Arabidopsis thaliana: one gene and its partner. The protein of the gene in region 2 interacts with the protein of the main gene of each other region in a pairwise test. Each region holds a gene or a part of one and is shown on either strand. Other genes may lie near its edges.

What was found.
Region 1: the proteins of PRP4 (region 2) and AT5G28900 interact in a two-hybrid assay, tested with the Arabidopsis thaliana proteins (one large-scale study listed by BioGRID).

Annotation. Positions count from the first base shown.
Region 1 is NC_003076.8:10,923,352-10,927,284, reverse strand, and holds the start of AT5G28900 (Calcium-binding EF-hand family protein), read right to left. Parts: upstream 1,651-3,933; 5' UTR 1,434-1,650; coding exon 1,281-1,433; intron 535-1,280; coding exon 307-534; intron 217-306; coding exon 111-216; intron 29-110; coding exon 1-28.
Region 2 is NC_003075.7:18,096,356-18,100,288, forward strand, and holds PRP4 (proline-rich protein 4), read right to left. Parts: upstream 2,279-3,933; 5' UTR 2,094-2,278; coding exon 1,946-2,093; intron 1,853-1,945; coding exon 654-1,852; 3' UTR 251-653; downstream 1-250. Other genes in the region: AT4G38775 (uncharacterized protein), read left to right, coding at 1,106-1,252, 1,283-1,327, 1,349-1,403, 1,451-1,512.

The DNA of each region.
Region 1 (3,933 bases), on a different chromosome or scaffold from region 2:
CAGATTTCTCTGGTGACTAACTTGAATTCTGAGTATTGATTGAAAATGGAGAAAAAAGTTAATAAACAGTTCAAATATAATTAGTAGAAAACAAATGACTGACTTCTAACCTTGTATCTGCAAGCCATCCATGTGACCATAAAAGAAGTGATTGATTCTAAACATACATTGCTCTTTAATCTCGCTTGGTGGAGGGCGACCATTTTGGAAATAAAACTAGAATCATTTCAAGTTAAGAAATCAGTGAGTTAACTCCATTCCATTACTATATATATATAAAGAAGGAAGAAAAAGAGGAAAAGAAACCTGAGGTATAGGCTCTTTAACAGGCTCGTTGACTACTTTGAGAGTAGAACCTAAGTTAGAAGGGGCTCTCTGTTTGGTTGTACGGGGTGAACCACAACTCCTTGGTGAAAGCGGAGGAGCACTTCCCGCAGGAAACATAGATGGTATAGTGGCAGAATTAGAACCCGATGCACTTCCAGTAACATTGATAGGAGCTCCAGCTACAGCATCCTTAAGCAATGATCCAACCTAGAAAACCAACGAGAAAAAGATTAGACTAGAGATTCCAGTGAATAGAGAGTAATTAAGCAACCAAATCTCATTAACCACCTAAGGCATCATTGTCATAACTCACACAATCCAAGAAAGATTCAAACTTTACACCAATCTTCAACACCACAGAGTAATTTAGCAAACAAATCTCATTAACGTAAGCTTCATTGTAATACTCACATAAGAAAATAAGAATATACGTCATAACTCACAGAATCAAAAAATGATTCAAACTTTACACCAATCTTTCAACACCACAGAGTAAATCTCAGTAACCTAAGCATCAATGTAACACTCACCAACACTATCAAAGAAAGATACGAACTTTACACCACAGAGTAATTAAGCAACCGAATCTAAGTAACCACCTAAGGCATCATTATAATACTCACTAACACAATCAGAGAAATATTCGAACTTTACACCATTCTCAGTAAGCTAAGCATCATTGTAATAACTAACACTATCAAAGATCCCAACTTTACACCAATCCTCAACAGAAACCAGAGAGTAATTAAGCAACCAAATATCAGTAACCACCTAAGGCATCACTGTAATACCCACTAACAGTATCAAAGAAAGATTCAAACTTTACACCAATCCTCAACACCACAGAGTAAGTAAGCAACCGAAGTATCATTGTAACATTACGAAAGAAAGATTCGAACTAACAGAGAGTAAGCTAAGAAGCATGAGTGTAAGAATAGTGAAAAAGCAGAAACCTGTCGCTGAGCTTCGGGAAGAGAAAGCCACTGGTCGAAGAGCTTCTGAGTGAATCCAGGTTTAGAATTGAGAACAAAGGAAGACATTTCCTGAAGCTGCAACAAATCTGCATCCAAACAAGCCATATCTCCGGGAATAACCGTATCCACCATATTTAATCAATCGCATCAAAGTCGAGAAGATGAGAGAATGATCTTTGAGGCGAGCGAAATTGGAATTTTGAACAAAGTCGAGATCTTCTTCACCAACACATCGAATCTAGTCTTCCTTCTTCTCCGATTCCGAACAAGGAAATGAGACAGCCAAATTCTTTTATTTATTTATTCTTTTGAGCAATCTGAAATAAATAAATAAATTAGAGAGATACCCAAAAAATACTTGAAACACAAAAAGTTGATTTTAAGGGTTTATAATTTATTAAATGTTTGGGTTTGAGTTAAGTTTTTTGGGGTTTAGGGTTTATTTTTTAGAGTTTAGGATCTAGTTTTGAAAACTTTAAAAGTAATTTTGTGGTATTTTCAGAAAATAATATATTTTAGTGGTACTTTCAAAAAAATATAAACTACTAATAATGTTTTATAACAAAAATTAATTTTATGGTATTTTTAAAAATATGTCCATAAATAAATTAATATTTCGTTGACTAAATAATAAAAATAAGTAAGTGTATTTGAAGTAGAAATTTTTTTTCTCAACATGTGGTTGGATTCTTGATTTTTTCTATATTTTGTCAACCACACATTAGTTAAAATATTACTTCATAATTGGTAGTCCAATCTTAAGGAAAAATATTTACGAAACAAATTTCATATAATATACTATCTAGAGTAACGAGTTAGACAATCTACCTTATACAAGAGCCATGGATTCTAGAAAGAAAGAAAGTTTTATATATCATATAAAAAATACTTGACGAATGAGAAACATATGATGTGTTTCATATCATGTTTTCCATATTTCATAAGATTTTCTTTGTCAATCGGGAAATCGTGATCTTTATCTTTATCACATAAATTATAATATATGACATAGAAATGCTCTTATGAAAAGTATTTTGTTGCCAAATAAATAGAAATGTGTTGATATCAAAAAAACTAACACAAAACTATAGTTTGCAAATACGTGTAACTTAAAGTCTGACTCAATATTTATAACAACAAGAAAAAAAAACTATTTTTGTTAGTATCTCAACACTTTGTTGATATCTTCTTCTTGATCACCATAAAGCATATCATCAATTAAGTTTCCACGTTTAAGCGTTCTAATTGTATGTAGATCATATCTAGATCGATTTATGTCATAAGATATTTTATAGGTAACTATTTCAACTAGTCCATGGAAATAAAAATTGCATTCTTGAAAACCTGAGACATGGTAAAATCTAATCAGGTTCACATAATTTTTCTTGACTAAATCACATATCATATATAATTCATGTACTTTTACCAAATTTAGCAAAATTATCCCCTTATTAACAACATTAACTAGGGAAAAGAAAAACTATAGTAATCTGTCATTCATCAGATCTCGTATGTTCTATATCATCTTCATCCATGTAATTTCTTTCTAGATTACCTCATTTGCCCACAAAGACATCAAAAGAGAAATTATGATGGTCACTACAAAACTTAAGAGGCAAAATATAACGTAAATTATATATATGAAAGGAGCTCAACTCTCTCCCACAACTTGACACATCAGCACATGAGAGCTTGCCACCTAGACTTATTAAAATAAGTAAAATATAATTAGTAATTAATTCAACATATGAACCTATCATAAGTAAGAACTTCAACCATCACTCTTTCTATATTTTTAAATATTTTCTTGAGCACTATTAACCTTAAATTTGTAACAAATCCTCTAACATGTTGATTTCATAACAAATTTAGCTGGTGAAATGTGTGTCGATCAATTAGAAAATATAGTTGTTTTTTATAAAATGATAGGAAGAAAAATAAACGGTAAATTATAACGATTGTGATTCTTTCAAGTTATTTTTTAACGTATGAAGTTCATATATGTTGGTATGGTGTTATTAAAGATATTAAATTATTATGATTATAGACATAGGCGATTGGGTTTAAAGTTTACAATTACGCTCACTTGGTTGGTTTTGCCAACACAAATCTTCCATTACCTGGTAAATATTTACTAAACATATGATTTTCTATTTAAAATATCTAAATATTAACATTAGTCTCAGCTTGAAATTATAAATATAATAGAAACATTATTGTATTATACGAATCTTAAATATTTACTATTCTTGGTTAATAACAACTGTGAAGAAAATAGAGAAGAAGAAAAAAACCAATAATCGAAATTACAACTAAAATCAAATTGAAAACAATACTAACCTGGTTTAGTAAGGCAATAAGTGTAATAAGTGATGTTACCTCGTCACCAGTGGGAAAGATAAGGAGGAAATACGCGGCGACTGAGCCAAAAAGCTGAGCAATCAAGTAGAAAATACCACTGAGGAGAATGATGTTACCTCTGACACACTGAGAAAGACACCGAATGTAACGACAGGGTTAACGTGGCCACCAGAAATGTTAGCGACAACAGAAACAAATAACAAGGAGACCTAAAGCATGAGCTAAGGCAGCGGCGACGAGGCCGGTAGGAGTGGTGGCTCCATTGTTAGTG
Region 2 (3,933 bases):
TCTTCTCTCTTTTTGGGTTTAATGGGCCCTGAATTTTATCCTATCAGTTTATCACTAAAGGGCCTAAAAACCCATCTACGTTTTCCCACTATTGTAGCCGACATGTAAAATATTTTTCTGTATGTATTTTTCATATTGTTTAGAAGATTGAATTTATTCGTCAGATATATTATTAGTCTCAGTGGACTGTCGACAACGTATGGATAGGTGATTGATTCACCAGTAGGGAGCAAATAAAACTAGGCTTATGCGAATATCTTATGAAAGATCTGCCTTTCTTTTACCATCTCCCATTTTTTCACCTTTTTTACAAAAAATGTACGTATATATTAATCTCCCATATGTTGTCGCTTAGTGACAAAAATATGGTCAAAAACGTTTATGCGCGCGAAAACGCAAGCAAGTTTTTTCTCCCGAGGACTCTTTAACGCAAAATTCTTGTTGATCATCTCATGATAAAAGAGAAACGTATCATTACCATATTATTGTTGGAAGATTGCGGGAATATAAACAACCAGTCTACACAAAGAGAACTCAAAGCCAACAAAAGAAACAAGATATAAAACATATGCAAAGATAAAATATTAAAAAAAGGCAAACACGTTGATTATACATGAGTATACGTATATCTATATATACGTATTTAATGTTTCTCAAGGGTGTGGAGGCAACGGAGGCCATTTCCCGAACTTGGGGTGGTGAATGTATTTAGGAGGAAGAGGTGGAAACTTTGGAAGTGGTGGGAGCTGTGGAAGTGGCGGACATGGCTTCTTTGGAATCACCACTACCGGTGGTTTGTATACTGGTACCGGCGGAGGGCATGGCTTCTTGGGGATCACAACCGGTGGTTTGTATATTGGTACCGGCGGAGGACACGGCTTCTTCACAATTGGTGGTATGTAGATTGGTGGATGCTCTATCTTCGGCGGCGGCTTGTAAACCGGAACTGGAGGTGGGTGCTCTATCTTCGGCGGTGGAATGACTATCTTTGGCGGCGGCTTGTGGACTGGAACCGGCGGTGGATCAACTTTCTTAGGCGGACAAGGCTTCTTCGTTGGTGGTTTGTGGACTGGCACCGGCGGTGGATCAACTTTCTTAGGCGGACATGGCTTCTTCGGTAGCTTGTGTACCGGAACGGGAGGTGGGTGCTCTATCTTTGGCGGGGGCTTGTAAACCGGAACCGGAGGTGGCTTCTCTATCTTTGGCGGTGGCTTGTAAACCGGAACCGGAGGTGGGTGCTCTATCTTCGGCGGTTTAGGTGGACAAGGCTTCTTAGGAATAGGCGGTGGAAGCTCCACCTTTGGTGGTGGCTTGTAAACTGGGACAGGTGGTGGAACCTCTTTCTTAGGCGGTGGATCGTAAACCGGAACCGGCGGGGGAATCTCTTTCTTTGGCGGCGGCTCGTAAACTGGTACCGGGGGTGGAACCTCCACAGGAGGACTGTATTTAGGTGGACATGGCTTCTTGAGAAACGGTGGAAGTTCCAAAGGTGGAGGTAAAGGGAAAGGATGATCAAAGCCCTTAAAAGGAGGCAACTTAGGCATAGGCCAGAAGAATTTGGAAACGCAAATCTCCGGTGAAAATTTCAGATTTTGTTTGAGACCCAAAATGTGTTTATCCCCGGATTTGGATAAAAACACGATCTTGGTGGACTCAAGGCCGTCGTGAGCCGGACAAGGTGTTCCCGCCGCGCTGTGAAGCTGAGCGTAACACTCCTCCTTTAACGCTCCGTTGTCGGAGACAATGTCATGAGGAATATTAAGACCAAACTTTCCTTTGTCGTCAATGTTTCCCGAACCTTTTGTAACAAAATGGCCTTTATTCACCTTACAGTCGATCGTCACTCGAAGTCCTATAACAAATAATATCACACATTGATCAAATATATATTCACAAAAAAATAAACTATATAGTACATAAGATATTAATGTAAGTTATGAGATACCTGAAAATGCATGGGGGGTTTTGATCTTGCTCTCGGCGTAACCGACAACTTCGACGACACGAGCGAGTGAGAGAGTCGCTGATAAGAGAACCGACACAAGAAGGAGAAGACACGGAACCGAACCTCGAGGTTCGGGTAAGATCCTCATTGGGATTCTCACCCTCTGAGATTTCTGACACACTTCCCTTTCGTTTGCTGAAAATATAAAGATTATAAGAAGAACAAAAACAAACTATAGAGTATTAGTGGGGAAGGTGATGATATGATTATAGTGAGACTTCTTCTCGTTTATATAATGGTCTTATCAAAGATTTTTCTGAAGATTGATCGTAATAATTACTTCCGAATTAATTAACGTTTAGTTTTTTTTTTTTTTACCAACAATAATTGGATTCGGCGGTTCCTATTATTTTGTATTGTGTATCATTTATTTAATGTCGTCATGGTCCATCTTCTCGTTGTTACTTTCGTCTATGCGGCACTTTATGATATTTTTCATGCAGGGTGGTTGAAACACATTGACTTTTTTTTCCTTAATACGACAACGGCATTCAAATTTTATTTTTTGTTTCCCTCATCAACGTTATTGCACGAGACATATGCGTACAACTTTTGACACACGAAACTTTTGATCCGCAAATATGGTTAATTTTATTGTTATAGAGATTGCAGGATGAGCATGCATATACTTTTTTTTTGTTTCACACACACGCTATGGTTGAAAAAAGAAACTGAATTAATCAGTGCGTGTATACGGCTCCACCAACCCAAAATTGAAGCGGATCACATTATGGTTAGAAGAGAAACTTAAATGTTTTTATGGAAAAAATATAGTCAGTCACACTACTTGTCGGCTTATATTTCTTGTCCACTCCGTATATATTTAAGTAATTATTTTACCGGAAATCCATTACAATGCTAACAAATATTCTTAACATTTGCAGTTATGCACGCCATGATATCTACTGTTTTAACCGTATATACATAACAATAAAATAAAGTAGCTAGTAGTAATAAACTAACGAAATTTGTCAGAGAAGAGGACTGATATGATTTATTGGCATTTGGTTAGATGGAGATAGAAGTTAATATCTATCATCAATCTACTTCGTCTCTGAAGTTAATTGGCAAGGCCCTTCAATAAAAGCAGCCAGCTCAAAAGCCTACTAGTATTTGTTCCTTTTTCTTTTTTTTTTCTGGACAAGCTAAGCTAACTACTATTTGTTCATTTTAATTTGATGAAAAGTGTATACGTAAACGTTTGATTACTAAATCTCGTTTTGTTCGAAATGAATAGAAGAGTTAAAGAACACTTATGGAATATGAGAACGTATCAACTTGATAACAAATAAGAACGCATAGCACTTTTACAAATTCAACTTTATATATAGTACAAGAATTCAGCTACATATGTATCGCCGTAATTTTCTCTGAAAACTATTATATATTGTTTTTACACAAATGACCGATATCAAATGTTGAAATTCAAAACTTTCACCCACTCTTCATTGCTAGTTGCTACTAAATCCTTACACGTTCTTATGCAAAATTAGCAATATTATCTGATGTCGCAAAATTGACATGATGCATATATATATGGGTGCATGCAATGCAATAGCTAGTCCGACTTTCGAATCGAGAGACGACCTGATTAGATATATAAAAAGATAAACTACAGTCCTGACTGCGTTCTAGGTGTTAGAAACTTACAACGCGAACTAGAAATACAGAATTGAGGATTATATGTGAACGATATCATAATGTTGGTTGCCATATTAAAAGCTACACCTACTCATCCACGCCCATTAATACGGTGGCTTTGGACAGTTGTACAATAAGAGGTTCAAGTTTAAAGTTATTATTGTATATTCATTTTCTGGTATACAGAAGAAATATATACTTTCATAATGTACACATAATCGCTAATAAGGCCCATTCTTAAATGTACGTAAAAACATGTATTCAATAGCCTAATTGTGTAGATGGTG